3 linked regions of the Lonchura striata genome follow. The protein of the gene in region 3 purifies or fractionates together with the protein of the main gene of each other region. This does not show direct contact. Links are inferred from orthologs where the notes say so. Each region holds a gene or a part of one and is shown on either strand. Other genes may lie near its edges. The genes, in order: DOCK1, PTPN6 and GRB2.

Evidence for each region.
Region 1: the proteins of GRB2 (region 3) and DOCK1 purify together in Homo sapiens (affinity purification with mass spectrometry; 5 studies listed by BioGRID and IntAct, counting the BioPlex papers as one, with this or other methods). This does not show direct contact. The link is inferred for Lonchura striata from reciprocal best matches to the Homo sapiens genes GRB2 and DOCK1.
Region 2: the proteins of GRB2 (region 3) and PTPN6 purify together in Homo sapiens (affinity purification with western blotting; 4 studies listed by BioGRID and IntAct, with this or other methods). This does not show direct contact. The link is inferred for Lonchura striata from reciprocal best matches to the Homo sapiens genes GRB2 and PTPN6.

Annotation. Positions count from the first base shown.
Region 1 is NC_134609.1:30,111,177-30,119,023, reverse strand, and holds the start of DOCK1 (dedicator of cytokinesis protein 1), read right to left. Parts: upstream 4,653-7,847; 5' UTR 4,542-4,652; coding exon 4,496-4,541; intron 1-4,495. UniProt on the Homo sapiens protein: Involved in cytoskeletal rearrangements required for phagocytosis of apoptotic cells and cell motility. Along with DOCK1, mediates CRK/CRKL regulation of epithelial and endothelial cell spreading and migration on type IV collagen.
Region 2 is NC_134604.1:29,794,066-29,801,912, forward strand, and holds the start of PTPN6 (tyrosine-protein phosphatase non-receptor type 6), read left to right. Parts: upstream 1-3,230; 5' UTR 3,231-3,536; intron 3,537-3,710; 5' UTR 3,711-3,798; coding exon 3,799-3,812; intron 3,813-7,819; exon of another isoform or gene 7,820-7,847. Other genes in the region: C2H12orf57 (protein C10), read left to right, coding at 1,752-1,809, 1,916-2,092, 2,173-2,321. UniProt on the Homo sapiens protein: Tyrosine phosphatase enzyme that plays important roles in controlling immune signaling pathways and fundamental physiological processes such as hematopoiesis.
Region 3 is NC_134621.1:5,254,929-5,258,528, reverse strand, and holds the start of GRB2 (growth factor receptor-bound protein 2), read right to left. Parts: upstream 2,442-3,600; 5' UTR 2,398-2,441; intron 1-2,397. UniProt on the Homo sapiens protein: Non-enzymatic adapter protein that plays a pivotal role in precisely regulated signaling cascades from cell surface receptors to cellular responses, including signaling transduction and gene expression.

The sequences.
Region 1 (7,847 bases), on a different chromosome or scaffold from region 3:
CTGTCCCAGGCTGCTCCAGCCTGGCCTTGGGCATTGCCAGGGATCCAGGGGCAGCCCCAGCTGCTCTGGGAATTCCATCCCAGCCACTCCCCACCCTCACAGGGAACAAATTTCCTTCCCAATATTCCATCTAATCACATTCTCTGTCATTTTAAAGCCACCTCCCCTTGTCCTGTCCCTCCATCCCTTGCAGAGTTTCTCTCCATCTTCCTTGTCAGCTCCTTCAGGCACTGTAAGTCCACAATGAGGTCACCCCAAAGCTTCTCTTCTCCAGGCTGAACAATCCCAATTCTCTCATCATTTCCTCCCAGCAGAGGGATGTAACAAATAAAACCTGAGCTGGGTGTCCATGGGATGGCTCTAAGAAATTGAACCTGCATGTGCTCACTCCAACACTCTGATCAATGCAGCAGCAAATCTTCCATGCACACATTTTACACTTCCACTTTTGCTCCACAGGCTTGGGATGTGTCACAGCACATCCCTGCCATCACTGACAGAAGTCACCTGTCCTGTCCTGCCAGGCAGCTCCAAACCTCCCAGCACACCACCACTAAAATCACCAAGATTCATTCCAAAGATGCATCTTTCTCCATCTCCTTCAAATGTTTCCTTCCCTGCTCTGAGGCACAAATATGCACAAGATCATCACCTTAAACAAGAGTCTCCACATGCCACCACAGCTCCCCACAGCCTGGACTGTGACTCCAGGGTTCCAAAAAAGCCTTAAATCTGACCTACAGCACCACAGTCCTCCCTGAAGCAGCAGAAGAGAAGCAGCAGCACTCAGCTGTAGGATTTCCTCTTGACAAATCCTTATCCCCCCCCTTCAGAGAGACATTACAAGAGCAAAACTCAGCTACAAAACTCTTAAATCATGATCATTGCACCACCTTAGTCCACCAGCTCCTTAAAGAGCTCCCCTAATAATAAAATGTATACATTTCTGTGTACCTGGTGTGAAGGTATTTCCATAAACCCCTTTGGAAAAGCTTTCCCAATCTCAGAGAGGCACTACAACACCCTGACCATGAAGTGTGGCCAATGTCCCCACCTAAAATTAGGCTTGGTATTATTTGCCAAGTCATGACACACAAGAAAAATTCACCAGGAACAAACAAAAATACTGGAACTCACTGAATTTGGAAAAAAATTCCAAGACCATCAAGTCAAAGTCCAATCCCCATCTCCACTTTGTCACCAAGCCCAGAGCACTGAGTGCCACATCCAGTCCTTCCCTGGACCCCTTCATGGATGGGGACTCAAGCTCTGTAACTGGGAAGAGTTCTCCTTTTACACCTCACCATCCAAGGGCACATAGTATTAATTTTCTGTTCCACCATTTACTCAGTTTAAAAAAAAAAAAAGCTACCACAGCAGTGGTCTGATTACTCCATACGAACATAAACCTTTGAACACAAAGGCATTTTAAAAACCATACTTTTATCCACAGTAGCAGCAGTTCTACCTCACTGCATTCTCAGCCCAAAGGAAAAGGGGCAAAGAACAGGAGAATTCAGGATTTGGAAGCTACCACAGGCACTGTGCACTGTCTCAGAGGTGCTGGCCAGGCTCCCAGACCTCCCAAAGCAGCTCCTTACATCCCTTCTCCCCAGGAGAAGGAAAAGCACCAAAATTACAAATCTCACATCACACTAAAAGCAAGGCATGAGAGACTAAGCAGCCACACTCCATGGCCACTGTGTGACACTGAGGGGACACAAACAGCTCTCAGGACCCTCTGATGTCCCCGTGGAGGAAGCCACACACCCATGAGGTCCCTTCCACAGAGCCACACTCCTCCCCACCAGCTCAGGGCGAGGGATGAAAGGCAGGATTGAGATGAAGGCCAAGGAGGAGCAAGGGGGAGCAGGGAAAAGCTCCTCCAAGGAAGCTGATGATGCCCCCGTTCCGCCTGGCTCCCCACAGGTTACCCTGATGTCCCTATGATCCCATTAGCTCCACACCCATTCCTCCTGAACTCGCTCAGGAAGCGGAGCTGAGTCACTCTCCAGCTGCCTGCTGAGATAATGCCTCTGCACAGAGGCTCAGGGCAGCAAATGCACTTCAGAGGCACGCAGGGCATCCAGCAGCATCCCCAAATCCCACTGTGGGAGCGCTCCTTCACACACCTGTGTCCTACCAGCTGGCACTACAGGCTCCTTGGCATCACTCCTCCAGCTGCACCACAGCCAGCGGATCTTCGCCTCTTGAGATGTTACAAAAACTCTGTTGTGCACAGGGATATACCAGAGGAGGGGGAGAAGGGATTTAAATGTGTTATATAAGCACGTGTGTGTGTTTTCTATATACACAACTCTGCATACAGACATACGTACATTTCTGAGTTCCCACTGCTGTGAAATAAACATAGCCACAACACACCTTCCTAATATTTCTGCTTGGGGAAGCGTGCACAGAGAATCCCAGAATATTTGGGGTTGGAAGGCAACTCTGGAGATGATCCACTCCATCCCACCTGCAGCAGAACACACCCAGGCGGGTTGGGATGTCTCCATGCCCTCCTTGGGCAGCTGTTCCTGAGCTCTGCCACCCTTCATGGAAAGAAGTTTTTCCTCATGGTGAGGTAGAACTTCTCCTGGCTTAGTTGACAGCCATTGCTCCTCACCCTGCCACGGAGCACCACTGGAGTGACTCCATCCTTTTGGAGATATTTGCATGGATTGATGAGACACCCAAAGCCCTGCACATTATGTTTCACTAAGTCCCATTAGCATTTCTATTAGGGATTTTCTCCCTGGCAGACAATACTGAGTCAACATCAACCCCAGGACTAATCATGGCAAATAGAAAAAAAAATATTCTCAAGTCTGAATTTTCAGGTTAACAGTGCTGTCTCCAATTCTGTTTGGGACTACACAACTGTTGCATCAACTTCTCCATCTCCCACAACCTGCAAAAGCTAAAACATCAGAAGACTCACAGTGTGCTTTCTTAAAGGTCCATAAAACACATAGAACCAAACGGAATATTCATTTTCTTCAGAGGACACCAAAAAGAAGCTATTCTGCCCAAAGAAGCCTATAACAGAATGGCACCGGCAGTGAATCCAATGTTCAATTAGCTCTAAATTTATCTCCTTGTGACACTTCATCCACTTTCAACCCTCACATCACATCTCTGTCATGCAGCAGAGAAATCCCCGTTTGGTGAGGATCTCTCCCTTCTTGCAGGAAAAAGAAAACAAACTATCAGAGAAACATAAATCTACTATAAAACCATAGCAAACACCTCTGCAGAGCAGCGGACACAAAAAATACCAACCAGGCACGTTGCATGGGCTTTTTCAAACTGGGAAGGGTTTTTTACCCTTAAATTACATTTAAACCCACTTTTCTTAGCACACATGCAATCCCCCACACTGGAGATGTAAGTACACTGAAGCTATGTTACGAAACAAATCTATTTCACTTTTTTCTCTCATGCCACTTTCAAATTAATTTCAAGACATTCCTGGAAAGCTGGGCCTGGGCAGTCCCTCCCACCACAGCACCAGCCCTCCTGCAAAAGAGGAACTTGCTTTCGAGTGTCACTGGCTTTAACATCAGCTCATTCTACGTGACAATTCAGTCATTCCGAAATATCCATCCCACCCCACCCGGCAGAAAATTTGGAAACTTAACAAGCGACTGCCATCGGTGGCACTTCTGCTTCCCCGCGCTTGTCCTGCATCCTCAGCGCTGGAATTACCCACAGGTCCCACACACTGGAATTAGGATTTTTCTAGTCATTTTTAAAAGCCAAGCTGTCGTTTTCTAGGGACACACACACAGGATTTAAAATTAATTCCCACAATTCACTCAGGCTTTACTCAGCCTCAGAAACTCCCTTCTTCCTGCTCGCTTTGTCGATGAGGTTTAGCTGTGCGTTTCTATGAAAAGTTGTTCCTCACTATCAATCCAACCCAAGAACTGCGGCGGGCATTGAACTTCACGTTTCCAATTTGAATAGTCCAATTTATTATTTCCTTCCCCCACACAAGCGCTCATTCATGCCGCTAAAGTTCTCTGCGCCGCACCGCCGGAATAAAACCTTTTGCTCCGAACGCAACATCGTTAAACTCGGGAGGTTCGTGCCGAGAGAAGCACGAACCTCACCGGGGTTTGGTCCGGTTGAGTCCCAGCGGGGATGTCCGGGCCGGCAGCGGAACAATCCTGCTCTGCTCGGGCGGGACGGAAGGAGCGGGGTAGGAAATGGATCCCGGCGCGCAGGAAAGCCCCGATCCCTACGAGCATCCCAGCCGGGACCGCGCTGCCTGCGCCCCGGCCGGGCAGCGAGAGCCGCCGGGAAAACAAACACCTCGAGCGGCAGCAGCGCAGCCAGGGAGAAAGGCAACTTTCCCTGGCTCCCAGACAACCCCTCAAGTAGCCGGGAGGAGGGCGGGGGAGGCAGGAACCGGAGGAGAACGCGGCGCTGCACGCCGGCCATCCGCGGAGCCGGGGGCAGCCCCGGTGCGCAACAGGCGCGTCCTCACCTACGCCGTACTTCTCCTCCCTCTTGGTGGGCACCCAGCGGGTCATGGCGCCGGGAGCCGCCGGGATGCCACGGCCCCGCTCCCTACGCCGCCATTTTCCGACCGCGGGACGGGAAAAGTTTCTCCCGACGGCGGAGTCATGTGGTGCGGGCGGAGCCAGCCCGGCCCGGCCCGGCCGCCCTCCGCCCGCGGCTCCGCACAAAGGGAGCGCACGCCCGGCGCCGGCCTTTGGGCGTGCTGCCGCTCCGCCTGGCCCGGATACACCCGGCTGTTCCCACCTGTACCCGGTAAAGTCCCAGCTGCACCCGGTTATATCCTTGTATCCCAGGTGTACCCGGTTGTGGGCCATGCGTGCACCTGGTTATGTCCCAGGTATCTCCCCGCCTATTCCCGGTTATATCCCAGGTACACCCGGTTATGTCCCAGGTGCACCCAGGTGTGTCCCACCTGTACCCGGTAAAGTCCCAGATGCACCCGGTTATATCCTTATAGCCCAGGTGTACCCGGTTATGTCCCAGGTACCTCCCCGCCTATTCCCGGTGATGTTCCAGGTGCACCCGGTTATGTCCCAGGTGCACCCGGTTATGTCCCGGTACCTCCCCGCCTATTCCCGGTTAAGTCCCAGATGCACCCTGTTATATCTGTTTATCCCGGGTGCACCCGGTTGTGTGCCATGTGTGCACCCAGTTATGTCCCAGGTCCACCCGGTTATATCCTTATATCCCAGGTGTACCCGGCTGTGTCCCATGTGTGCACCCGGTTAAGTCCCGGGTGCCTCCCCGCCTATTCCACATTGTGTGCCTGGTGCCTCCCCATCTAGTCTCGGTTGTGTTTTAGGTGTACCCAGTTATGTCCCGGTACCTCCCTGCCTATTCCCAGTTACATCCCAGGTGTACCCGGTTAAGTTCCAGGTGTACCCGGTTATATCGGGGGTTCGGTCTCTTCCACCGGGCAGCACTGACAGAACAAGAGGACACAGTCTCAAGCTATGTCAGGGAAGGTCTAGGTCGGATATTAGGAAAAAATTTTCACCAAAACAGTAATAAGGCACTGGAATTGTTTTCCCAGGGAGGTGGTGGAATCACCATCTCTGGCTGTGTTTAAAAAAGATTGGACTTGGCACTTGGTGCTGTGGTCTGGTTGTGGTGTTAGGGCATAGGTTGGACTTGATGATCTCAGAGGTCTCTTCAAAGCTCATTATTCTGGGATTCTGTGTCCTGGTACCTCACCACCTATTCTGGGTTATGTCCCAGGTGCACCCAGTTATGTCCCAGTACCTCCCCGCCTATTCCCGGTTGTATTCCCGGCACCTCCCTGCCTCTCCCTGGTTGTGTGCCAGGTGCACCCCGTCGTGCTCTGCCCCAAAGGCTCTGGCTGCATCCTCCACGGAGGTGCAGCTTTAAAACAAAGGGTTTTTGGAATGTTTGATGGTTGGAGCGGGATGTGAGGCCAGAAGAACACTGGGGTCGAGCGAGGCCGAGTGCGGGTGTTGTAGCTGGGCCGGGAAAAGCCCCGGTACCGATGGGGGGAACCGATGGAGCAGCCCTGGGAGAAGGGCTCAGGCTCTGCTGGTGAGAGCTGGACATGCCCCAACCGTGTGGGGAAAAAACCTCCAGTCCTGGACTGATCCCACACCAGTATGGAGGAGGCAAATTCTGTCCTTCTGCCCCACCTGCCGAGCTGCCTCCAGCCCTGGGATCCAACATCAAAAGGACGTGGAGATGCTGGAGGAAGTCCAGAGGAGGCCATGGATACACCCCGAGGGTTGGAGCTCCTCTGGAGCCAGGCTGGAAGAGCTGGGGGTGCTCAGCTGGAGAGAAGCAGCTCCAGGGAGAGCTCAGAGCCTCTTCCAAGGGCTGAAGGGGTTCCAGGAGAGCTGGAGAGGGACTGGGGACAAGGGATGGAGGGACAGGATACAGGGAATGGCTCCCACTGCCAGAGGGCAGGGATGGATGGGATACTGGGAAGGAATTTTTGGCTGTCAGGCCCTGGCACAGGGTGCCCAGAGCAGCTGTGGCTGCCCCCGGAAGTGTCCAAGGCCAGGTTGGACACAGCTTAAAGATTATAAACCTTCTGATTTCTAGACCCAAGTCCAAAATCCTGTCCAAATCTAGCATCTCCTGCTTAATTAAGTGTGGAATAAATGATTACAAAAGAATAAGCAAGGGAAGTGAAACTTCCTGTTCCACATCCCTGTCGTCTTGGAGACATCCAGGACTGTGCTTTAAAAAATAAATAAATTTTAAAGCCTTTAGGAAATAGAAAATAAAGTGTGTAAAAGTCAAGAAACAGCAGAGTGCTAACACTTAAAAGGAATAAAGAGAAGTGAAATGACAGACTGGCTGTCATTTGCTAGGATTAGTCCTCTGACAAAGGGGAAGCCCTTTAGCACAAATTTAAGGATTAAGATAGATCCAGGGTTGAATCTTTTTTCTCCTTATTTTCTTGTGTAGTGTGGATGGCAAAGGACTATTTTCTGCAACAGCACTTTTGCTGTCAGCTTTTGAGATCAAGTGCTCAGAGCCCTGAATGAGTCTGCTCCTCTTCTCATGTACCTTCCCTTTTCCCACCCTTGGGGTTGGTTTCCCAGGAAATCACCAACGTGTTCAGACTCATCCAGGTTTTATTGTAGCTGTCCTGCAGAATCCCAAGGGCTGCTGGAGCCAGCTGCTGCACCTTTCTTCATTCTGCCCAGGAGTGAGGACATCAAAAGGTTCTCAAAGCCATGGCTTGTCCTCGTTCTCCTGCACTAATGGAGCAATGATTTAGGGCCTTCCCAAAAGCAGCTTACAAGGTGTCAGAATCTGAGGTATTGATGATTCCCAGATTGTAGAAATTCTCTGTCTCTCAGCCCCGCTGCCAAAGCAGAAGCCATAATTGGTCTGTGCTGGTTTCCAGGTTGTTTATTCTGTTTATCTCTCACATGTTCTGCTGCCCTGCCCAGCTCTGTCCTTCAGGGCAGCGTGTGGGGCTCTGCCCTCAGTGGGATGTGACAAACATTAAATACCAGAAACTCCCTGGGCTGCATTTACAAGAACGTGCCAATATCTGTCACCTACGTTGGACAGTGTGTCCCCAGCCTGAACCAACAGAAAAATGCCAACACCACAGTGAGACATGGAGGGCATGAAGAAGGAGAAAAAGGACAAGGCACACCCAATTTCCTCCATCTTGTCCCCTTTGGACCCCTCATCTAGAATCCTAAAATTTTACTTTTGCACCCGTGCCACACTTAATTATTACTGATATCAAACACTCAGAGCTGGTAATTGATCCTGTAAGGTTGAAAACTCTTTTCCATGGGCAGAGATCCCAGCCAGTGTCTCTGGGGGCTCTGTCCAGGGGGGTCCCA
Region 2 (7,847 bases), on a different chromosome or scaffold from region 3:
TGTCAGTGTGACATCATCATGTCTTTCTCTCAAGAGAAGCAATCAATCAACCAAATCCTGGGGGAAGGGAAGCTGCAAAGTGACACATCCTGATCCCACCATGCAGTAGAGTACTAGAGAAGATGACAGAAAGTATGGGATGGCATCCTGGGAAGAGTGGAGAAGAGAAATTAGGGAGGGACTGAAACACCACTAATGGACCTGAAGCGATTGGTACGTGATTTCAGCTGAGCTCTGAAGAGAATCAGCATTGCACAGAGCTCAGAAAGACAAAGCCTGACATGAATTCAGGGTGGCAGGAGCTCCATCCTTTGTTTTGGGGGAACAGTTGCATTAAATAAAAAGTGCAGAGCATTGCAGGACTTCATGTACAGGATGCTCCTGCCTTTTCTGCTTCTGCAAGGAGGAGGTGCGGCCAAGAAATAACCGCAAACACAAAAGAGCCTTTTTTCGAGATGCTTCCTCAACACCCCACCCCCCTTTAGGTGTAAGATACTGCTTAGCGATACAGAAAAACAACGTGGAACTTTTTCAGATTTAGCCAGAGCAGCTTCCCATTCTCCCAACACCCCTTCAGATGCAAACAAAGCGTTCCAGGTCCCTTCCTGAGCAGCCTCTCCTGCCTGCGGAGGGTCCGGTCCCAGCCATCGGGGTGCAAAGCACTGCAGGACTGTTTGCAGGACGGTGGCTGTGCTTTCCCCAGCTGCCGGGAACGGGCACGGCCATGAGGTGCGAAGCACCAGCAGACTGTTTTGGAGACTGCCATCAGCACCGTGACCCCTCTGAGCCCCGTGGGGAGAGCTGGCGTGGCCCAGCGGTTACACTGCGTCCTGGGACTGTCTGTAAAGATGGTGGCTGCCCCTTTCCCCTCACCCATCCTAATTGATGTACTTTAACTCATGCACATCCTATTAGACGTGGCAGTTTTATGTAGCAACTTGTGACTCCCTTGCCCCCGCGTGCGTGTTCTGATTTCACAGTTGTATCTCTCGATTGGTCCCCCATATATTATATATATTTACTTAACCATTAAAGGAGAAAACAACCAACAACCCAGCTATGGAAAAGAAAGAAAAACAACCACCCAAACGATGTTCCCCACGCACTCCCAAGCCCTGACACACATTCTAATAATTTATATATATATATAAATATATATATGAAGCTCTTAAAAAAGGAAAAAAAAAAGACAAAAAAACCCTTTCAGAAACGGGACTCTGGTGTGTTCATTTCTTTCCAGTGGGGCTAGAACGGGAACGGCAGAAGCACTCCCGGTGAAAACTGGGAGAGGCTGGAAGCGGGCACCGCCTCGGGAAAGGCGCGGCGGCGCCGCGGGGAGGGGCGGGGCGTGCGCACCGCGGGCCAATGAGAAGCGATAAATTTGCATACGGGCCGGGCGGCACGGCCGGGTCCGTTCGGCGGCGGCGGAGCCGTCGGTATCGGCGTGGAGCGGGGCGGGGGGACGGCACCCGGACGGGGGCCCACGGAGGGGCTCGCAGGAGGGAAAAGCGGACCTCGCCCTCACCTCGGGGTGGGTCGGCCGGGAGGGGCTCCTCGGTCGTGGCGGAAGGCGGGCAGTGATTTCAGCTCTTTTAGAATTTGTCCAGCAGGTTTCCCGCGCTGGCGGGAAGCCGCTCCCACCGCGGTGCAATGGCAGAACGGGGCGGGGAGGCGCAGCCGCGCTCGGGCCGCGCCGCGCCGGGGCCGCTGCTCGGTCTGGCGCCGGAGCCGCGGCCGCCCCGCCGCGCCCCATGGCGGCCTCCGCGCAGCCCCCGGTGCCGCCGGCGCTGAGCGCGGAGCAGGCGAAGGGTGAGTGCGGGAGGCTCCGTCTCCCGGGCGGGCCGGCGGCGGGGCGCCCGTGCCGCCCGGCTGGACGCGGGGGGCCGGCGGGCGGCTGAGCGCTCGCGTCTCGCAGCGGTGCTGGCCGAGGTGATCAAGGCGTTCGGGGCGCCCGAGAACGCGCAGCGCATGGAGGAGGCTCGGGACAACGCCTGCAACGACATGGGCAAGATGCTGCAGTTCCTCCTGCCCGTGGCCACCCAGATCCAGCAGGACGTGATCAAGGCCTACGGGTTCAGCAGCGACGGCGAAGGTGGGTTGTTCCCCCGCCGGGCGGGATGCTCCGGGCCCGCCGGGGCAGCGGGGCCTCCCGCCCACCCCCTTTCCTTGCAGGCGTCCTGAAGTTCGCCCGGCTGATCAAGTCCTACGAGTCGCAGGACCCGGAGATCGCCAGCATGTCCGGCAAGCTCAAGGCCATGTTCCTGCCGCCCATGACGCTGCCGCCGCACGGGGCCGGCACTGGCGGAGTTGCCGCCTCCTGAGCCCGCGGAGTTCTCCCGGTGCTCCGGCTGGTGCCCTCCTTCCAAGGTGCGGGTCCTGTCAGCGCTGGGAACGGAGCACTTGAACAAGGGAGACGCGATCCTGGAAGGAATGGGATGTTTCGTGCCCCGCTCGTGTGTCTGCTCGTGAATAAAACGTGTGTTGAAAGTGCCCGTGTTCTATGAATGGCCGTGAGCTCAGCAGTGCTGCTCCCTGCTGCAGAGGCAGGTACAGCAGTGCTCTCTGCATGACACTTGCAACGCTGTTTTGGAAGGCCCAGTATGTGCCATCTTTTGCAAAAAGGTTTGTGCAGAGCCTCAGTGTGAAGCCCGAGGATCCTATATCAGAGTGACAGGTATTAAGCACTTTACAAGGGCAAGCATTTTCAGACTTTCTGTTTGAAGCATACTGGGAAATGCGTCCCTCAACACAATCTAGTGCTGTTCAGCAAGTGTTGTAAATGCCATTGAGGCTCCTGTCCCAGCAGGGTCAGTGCTAATTTACTCCTGCCCCCAGTGCCTGTGGCTGCCTTGTTTTGTGGCTGAATGTGCAATCCAGCACATTATCCTTAGTGCAAAAGGCAGCAGAGAGCTGCAGCAGGGAGTGTCCGAGCGTAGGAGGACTGGACTTGCCCCATTTTGCTGCAGCCTGGATTAGAACAACATAAACAACATACAATTTTTATCTCACGTTTTTTCTTGGACTGCAGAGGGATCAACCTAGTGGTGCAGCCTTGCTCCTTTGCAATATTTTCTTTCCAGTGTGGTTCAGAGGGACACCAAGGATGTCCGCTTGTAGCCTCCTGCCCTTTGTCCCTGTTGCCATTGGAAGAATTGAGTTATTTGGCGACAGAAGGGGGGAGAAAAGGGCTGAGCGTGAAGGAGCCAGGCCTGGGAGAGCAGGGAGCCAGGTGTGAGCGAGCTGCGTTCTGTGCTCCCGGTTACAAACCGGGCAGGAATGCAGCCAGCGAGGGCGTGAGCTCAGTGGATGGGAGGCAGGAAGAGCAGTCGGTCCCTTCCGTCTCCATCTACCTCTCCGAGCTTGGCCTTGGCCTTCCCCCACCCCTCTGATTATTCATTAACTACAGTCCAGGAAGTGCTTTGCAAATGGTGAGAATTAAGCCCGCGGCTTGAGGCCTGAGGTTTGCCTGACCTGGAGCTATCAGTCCGCCTGGGAGCGGGCGGAGTTCGGGGTTCGCCGGTGCGCGCCGGGCTCAGGTGAGTCACGGGAGGTGCTGCAGCCGCAAGCAGCGCCGGCTGCTGCTCAGCGCCCCGGCACTCACCGCCATGAGCATCCAGGCCACCTCTCCCCTAGCAAGGTCTTTGATCTCTCCCCCAAGTCCCTTTCAAGATCTTTTCTTGGTAATTCCAATATTGCTTTATTTTCTTTAGTGGGACCCACTTGGTTGAGGGCTGTGGTACTTCCTCCACCAGCTCCTGTCAGTCCTCCATCAGTGGGGATCTGAGAGACAAGACCCTGATGCCATCCCGTGGGTGAGTGCTGTGAATGCTAGTTAGGGCAAGAAAACAAGAGTTGCTGGTGAGAAAAATAAAAATAGCAGCAGTAGGAATCAGACACAAAAGGGAAAACCCCACAGTTTTTAATAGGAGCTGTCTATTAGAGGTAGCCAGAGGGCTGACTCCTCTGGTAGAGGTAGCCAGAGGATTGGAGCTTGCTGTGCTTTACATTTTTCCTGTTGCTCCTTCTCCCTTTGATAATGAGCAAACAGGGTTTGTGATGCCCAGTCTGCTGCAGTTCCTCTGCCACCCTGCAGCATCTCTGAATGGTTTTGCAGAGAGAGATGTCAACTGCCTGGCCTTTAAAATACTAGTCACTCTTTTATTTGCTGCAGTCTATCTAGCCCTTTATGGAACAAAAAGCAGGACATACAATCCTCACAGTCGGTCCAAACAGGTACCTTGCTCTGGAGGCTGCTGTGGAAGGGTGTCAGGAAATGGGATTTGCACTGGCATGGCTCTCTGGTAAGAATTTGGGTAACCACAGTGGTCTAGCACTGTGCTGGAGCCCCAAGGCCTGATGGAGAGCATGTGGCTTTGGCAAGTCACAAGAAGATGGTCCATCTGCCCGTCCCCAGGCAGCCTGTGCTCTGCACTAATGCCTGAATTACAGCAGACTTCCGTACAGAACAGCAAAACCTCCTGTCTGAAATCATCTCCATAACACATGCAATGCTCATTCTCAAAAAGGGCTCCAAATTAGCTCCCCCAAAATGTGAGGGAAGCATGGAACAATAAAGTTATTATCTGAGCAAAGGATGCACAGTATAATGGGGAAAGCAATGAATATGATAATAAAGAAAACACCAGCATCTGCTTTTGTAAAGGCAGATATGGTCCTGTAAAACTGGAGGGTTTTGAGGGACTTAGCAAGCTTGTGGTCTGGCCAGTACAGTTTGCTTGGATTTAAAGAATTTGACAAGATTTTCTCATCAAAGTCTTCAAATAAGGCTGAAATCACAACATTAAAAAAAGAAGGTGAAGGTTTTCCTGGGTAAAGATTTATTAGAGAATAGTAAATGGAAGGTGGGAATTAATATCCCATTTTTATAGCAAACGGAAGTCATCACTGGTCAGATCACAGGGGTCTTATCTGAAATACATGCTGTTCAGTATATTCCCAAGTTGCCTGGGAATACAGCTTGGTGAGGTGAGAAAATTGGATGATGATAGAAAGTTATTGAGGATAACAGGGTGGGAGTTGACTTGTGAATAATTTCAGAAAGACCTAATGATTGAGTGGGCAGTAGAACAGGAGATGAAAAGGCTTATGTAAAACAATGTTCATACAGAAAAATAATAGAAAAATTGCATATGCAACAATGACTGTGAACTAATGATAACCTCTCCTTGATTATAGAACTCCATGCAATTGTTAGCTTAGTGCTTGGTTATAGTGAACATCAGAAATCATCACTGTCCATGATTCACCAGCATTTTGGACACCACAGCTCTGTGCCCACTTTCACTCTTACCTCCAAATCAAAATGCCAGAATTGGAAATATCTCTGAGAGGGACAGCAAAGGTGGTCAGAGGTATAGAATAGTTCTCTACAAAAAGAAACCCCTTAGTAGGCCTGGAGTCTTCATCCTGGCAAAGAGTTGAGGATGGATACAGATGTTTCGGGTCTGTTACCATGAGCAGCTTGGAGCAGGGGGTGAGAAACAGGAATCGCCCAGATTTTTCTTTCTTTACAGCAACCAGGTGTTAAAAAAGAGGCAGGGAGCAGGTTATAAGCAAGTCAAAGGAGGGGGTGTTTCTGTAACTGAGCAATAGAGCTCTTTGCCAAAGGGCACAAAATTTGTTGTGCATTTGACAGTTGACTACAAGTAGCTGCTAACAGAGGCTTAGGAAGTAGGAGGGCAAAAGAAACTCTGTGCACAGTCTTTCTCTCTGCTCTTCCTTTGACAACCATTTTGACCTCTGGATTGCCTAGTCCCAGCCCTGCAGCTCCAAAACTAGCTCAGGTGGCTCAGGGCCTGAATGCTGACAGTGGCCAGGGTGGAGGTTCCTCAGCTGCTCTGGGGACCTGTGGCAAGTGCTGAACCCCCCTGGGGCGGAGCACATGTGCAGTTTCTCCTGATACCTAAGCAGAATTTCCCTTGCTGCAAGTGATGCCTGTTGCCTCTTGTCTTTATGTTGTGTCCCACAAAACAGAACCTGACTCAGCATCTCTAAACCCCCACGTTCCCTTTTAGGTAGTCTCAGAGAAGTGTTAAAGCCCTCCTTAAACATTTTTTCTTCAAGCTGAATAAACCCAGCTTGCTCTCTGCTATGCTCCAGGCTCTTCACTGCATTAGTGGCATTATGCTGGATCCTTTCCAGTTTCTCAGGGCCTTTTTTTTCTTGTAGAATCCAGATGTGTGTCTTTTAATTAGCTATTTCATTTATCTTCTGCTTTAAATTTTGTTACTGTGCTAGCTGTGGCCTGCTTCCCCAAGGGATTTACAAGATGAGGTTCTAACACCTGTGTTGTACTGAAAGCCAAACAGTGTAAGAGTAGTCTCTTTGCTGAAATCTCTTGACCTCTTAATTATATTAAAAAAAGTGGTTTAGTGGCTCAGTTATAGTCTTATTATATTTAGTGGCTCAGCTGTTCCATGCTGCAGCCATTTGGGAGAACAACCTTGAAGATACTGACTGATGGCTTCTCTGTGGTGACATTTCCTTTCCTTACTGGTAGTTTTTAATTAGATGGCCCAGATCAAACACACCAGGGCAGCTGTATGCATCCACTCCTTTCCTAAAATGAAAGCAAGCAGAAGCATAAAGTCATCCTATAAATTATGTAATATGGGATTTTTGTCCACAAAAATACTATCAAGAGATTACACTGCACCCTGTGGCTTGTCCTTCTGGAGGATACTGAGTTACATGGGATAAATGCTCTCTCACCCTTTGTTATTCTGGTCTGGGCTCTTTGCTACCTTTTTCTTTCCCTGTTCCTCTTTGTCCAACTAATGTTCAGTTCCTCAGACAGATTTTCTCCTTCAGTGTAGGGTGCAGGGGTGCCTAAGTTTTGGTTTTTGACTGCCTTGGCTTGGTATTTATTCTGCATACTCTAATATGCTTTTGATATTGGGAATTAATTTCTGGGACTGCTCCCTGGAAGTTCAGGCCTTTTCTCCCTTGGCTATAGACAACACTTGTTTCCTGTTCCTGCTAGACTGACTTAGGTGCTGTTTTTCTGGTGCAACTTCTACAACTTTGTGCAGAAATTCCCTTGAGTTGGTCTCATGCATTTAAAATGTCCTTGGTTTTTAATATCAGTTCTAAGTCAGTACCTCTGGCTGCCTGCAGCTCACCACACCCCAGCTCACCATGTGCATGAAACCAGAAGCATTTCTAAGGAAGCTGTTGTAGGTGCTTGGGTTGCCTTTCTAGCAATGAAGTTTAGCTTCCCACTCTTCTCTCCTGTACTTCCCTTTGTTGCTGGTTTCTGTCTTGGCCACGAGTTTTTGTCTAGGTCTTAGCTAGCAGCCTGTTCATCTTTTTGCAGGATTTCCCAGTCTGGTGGTGTGTGGGGAAGTCTGCTGCTGCTCGAAATGGGCAAGGCTCTTGCTGTTGCTATTGCTGCTGCCCACACCACACAGGGTAGCTGAGATGGCCCCAGGGAAAAGCCAGGCTCCTTTGCCAGCTGGATTGCACTCTTAGGCCACTGCTTAGCTCGCATTCTTTCACCAGACCTGCAGACCTTGAAGCCAGTCTTGTGGGCAGGGCAGTTGTGGGCCACAGCAGGAAGTAGCTATGTGACTGGAATGATTTTCCTTCTTTTTTTTTTGTACCTGGTTGTCAGCTTTGGCCTCAGTATGGAGTGCTGGGATTTTCAAGGTGCTCAGCTCAGCTCCCTCAGTGCTGTGTGGACTCTCTTTAGGTAGTAGCTGTTTGTCCTGGTCTCTGTCTGCCTTCCTGGGCAGCTGCACCACCCTCTCCCAGCCTTCCCATCCCTTCTGAGCTACTGCTGCCTGTGTCAGTCCCATCCCATGGCAGGCTGGTTTCAGGCAGGCACT
Region 3 (3,600 bases):
TACTACTACCACCATCAGATATATTGTCAGCATACAAAGGAGTGATGTTTCCAGGTAACAATGTTAACAGCAGCTGCAGTGTGCAGCAAAACTTTAACTTTCCTGACTTTAGACAAAAGTGTAGCTGAAGTTTAGGCATTAAAGTTGTATCTGAAAGAGGGAAAAGCTTTGAAAATATTAAACCAAGATATTCACACAGCAAATATTAGGAAAGGTAAAGCCAAGGCATAATTCCCTTAAATTCTCTTAAGGAAGCATTTGCTGCTTACAATATTATTAAATAAGTTCTTACACACATTCAGCCATGCTGTTATTAAAACATGAGCAAGCCAACTGCGTGAGTGGGGAAAAAAGCACAGCTGTATCTGGTTCAGGCAGAGAGCAGTGCAACAGGACACGTTACTGCAGTGAACCCAGTCCACAGACTGCAAGTGGAGTAAGACTGGTATGAATGAATAACAGCCAATATATGAATACAATGATTACATGTTACAAAAATTTTCAGATGATCTTGCTAGAGAAATGACTAAGACTTCTCAAAATATCAGTGTTTCTCACCTTACTGTGACTTGGGTTAAGACTTCCTTTGCTCTTAAAAATACTGGGAGGGGTAAGAGGAAGAAAAGGCAGCAGATGCAGCCAACAGTAAATGCTCATTAGTAGTAGTGCTGCAGCTCAGGATGGAATAAAAGTAATTATAAATACAAACCTCCCTGTAGTGGCCAACAGGAAACAATTCTCATGCTCACTTCAACAGATATTTCAAAAAGCACACAGGCAAAGGTGAGCTTTTTTCATTACTCTTAGAAACAGCATGGTTTTTAAACAAAAGAGAGCTTTCTCATTGTTCTCTTTTCACTGTTTTACTGCTCTTCTGGAAAGTGATACAGGCAGGAATAGAACAACAGACAGTTTAGAAAAGCCAAAGAGAGGCAAGATAGATTCACTAGGAGATTTTGGAAAGAATCAGATCCTCAACTTCATCAACTGTTTTAGGACAAAACATTATTGAGGGTGTTGGAAAGAAAAATGTGTGCATACATCATCGGGAAGACATGCAGAAATGCAAGTGTCAGGCTCTAGACAAAAGAATAGAAAGTTAAAATTGTAAGGGCAGAACACTAATTCAAATTAACCAAATAAGGAAGTATAACATAATAAAGGAACAAAGTAAAATATAAATTAGATTATTAACATATAAACCCCAGAACATTCAGGATCACAATTATCCCCCTGATCTACCAGCTTAATGCGATTCAACTTCCTTCAGCACCAGACAACTCAAGATATTACTTACAAAACTAAGCTACAGTACAAAGCACAGAAAACTTCACCTCTGCCAGAATTTATTTACTGGCAGTTCTTTTTTTTTTTTTTTTTTTCTTATTTTAAACATTGTAAAACTGCTTTAAAAGTTACAAACTTAGCTGGTATGATGAAACACCCAAATATGGCATGACAATCAACCTAAGAGATGATAACAACTGAAAGGTCTTTTTGTGGCACAAATTCTAAATTTCCAAAGTTGGCACAGAAATGGATTACAAACAACACTGTGTTTGAAGATTGATTAACCATCTGTGGTCCTTCAGATTTTGTCCCTTGACCCCAGGCATTTAATAATTTTTGAAACAAAGAATTAACTTCCCTAAGCACTGTATCTGTGAATTGCTCTTGCAGTTACTAACTGTGCTACAGAATAGTTTTCACTGTAGGTTATAAAAGAGGTGTCTGAGTCAGATGTTGTGGGAGTTAACAAGGCTGCATCCTTGTCTTCTACAGATTATTTGAAACTATATTGGCAAGTCAAACCTTGTCCCACAAAACCAGCACTGGTTCTGAAGAAGGAGGTTCAGAAGAGAAGGAAGAGGCCAAGAGAAAAATGTCCTTCTCCGTCACAGAAACGCACGTTTGAAGCATGACCCCAAACGTGTTTGGAGACAGTGTAGCAGGGATGTTATCCTGCCTACAGGGTACTTGCAGCATTTTAACCTTTGGAAGCGGCCTTAAGTTACAGAACTCGTTTTGGGGAATACAAAAGGTAAGCCCCAAGAACCACGACCAGCCACACGCCGCAGCCCTAGAGCAGAGAGAAAAGCGACCCCCGCCCGGTGCTGCCCGTACGCGAGCCGGGAATCTCGCCGAGCAGATGACGCCTCTGGAGCCCAAAGCTCATTTCCACCACCCCCCCACCGGCAGAGCCCGCATCCTCTCCACCCCCCGCGACCCGGCCAGGCCCGGCGGGACACGGGGCCGGCGCCGAGGCGGAGCGCAGCGAGGAGAGCGGAGCACCGCGGGGCCCAGGCCGCGGCACCGGGGGCTCAGCGTGCGCCCTCCCCGCTCCCCGCCCCGGCACGGCCCCCGGCGGGCGGCGGCCCTGCACAGGCCCGGACTCACCGCGCAGCGCTGGGCGCTCCCGCCGCCTGCCCGGCCCCGCGCGGCCCGGCCCGGCCGCCGCTCCAGCGCCGCCTCAGCCGCCGCTCCGGCCCCGGCCCGGCCCCCCGCCCGCCGCGCCGCCGGTCCCGCCGCAGCTCTCGCGAGAGCCGCGCTGTCAGCGCCCTCCGCGGGAGCCTGCGCGCTCCCCGCCCCGCCGGCAGCGCGGGCACGCCTCGCGCGTGCGCAGCACCGGCCCGACCTGCCCTGCCCCGGCCGCGGGCGGGGACAGGCGGCGGCCGAGCGGCGCGGCGCGCACCGGCCGCCACGGGTACCTGAAAGGAGGGCGTAGCCAGGCGGGGCTCGGGCTTTTCCAGCCCACTAGCCATAGGACAAAAGCGCAGCGTGAAAGCTGCGCCAGGGGAGGTTCTGGTTGTATATCAGGAAGAATTTTTCCACCGAAATGGTTATGAACCGCTGCAACGGGCTGCCCAGCAGGTGGTGGAGGCACCGTCCCTGCAGGTGTTTAAGGAAAGACTGAACCTGGCACTCAGTGCCATGGTCTCGAGGTGTTGGATCACAGGTTGGCCTCGCTGGTCTCCGTGGTCTTTTCCAACCAAATTGAGTCTGTGATTCTGCTATCGAGGCTCTGTTAACACCTTGGGGAGGAGGCCCTGAGTTTCTGGAGGAGAAATCACGCTGGCTTTGTGCACAATACTTGCTTAATTTGTCAGTGTCTCCACTTCTCTGTAAGACAGGGCCATGTGCTACACCATGGAGCCAGCAAGGAGGAATTGATCTAGAAATTCTCTAACTACCAGAGATGCACCCCAGCTTGTCCAGGCAGTGTTTGAGCAGACACCGAGGCGTGCAGAGCTGCTCCCAAAGCTCAGAGCAGAGAACACACCTGGTGAGCCGTTCCTTGACAACTGCCATCTCTCCTGAGCAGTGATTAAGGCACCCATGCTGTAGGAACAAATAGTTTAATCACACATGGCAATTACAGCATCCACAGAGACAAAAATTCAGATTGCACAGGCAGCTAATGTCAGGGTTTGCATGGATGACCCTCCTGACATTCTTTTAGCTTGAAAATACTCTTAATTATACAGTAAAGCAGTTGCTCAGGTAAACATCAGGCCTCAATCCTTTGATAAAGGCATAAATAAAAAAAGCTTTCCTATGGCTCTAGGAAGGAAAGGTGGTTTCTGAACAAGAAAAGCCTCT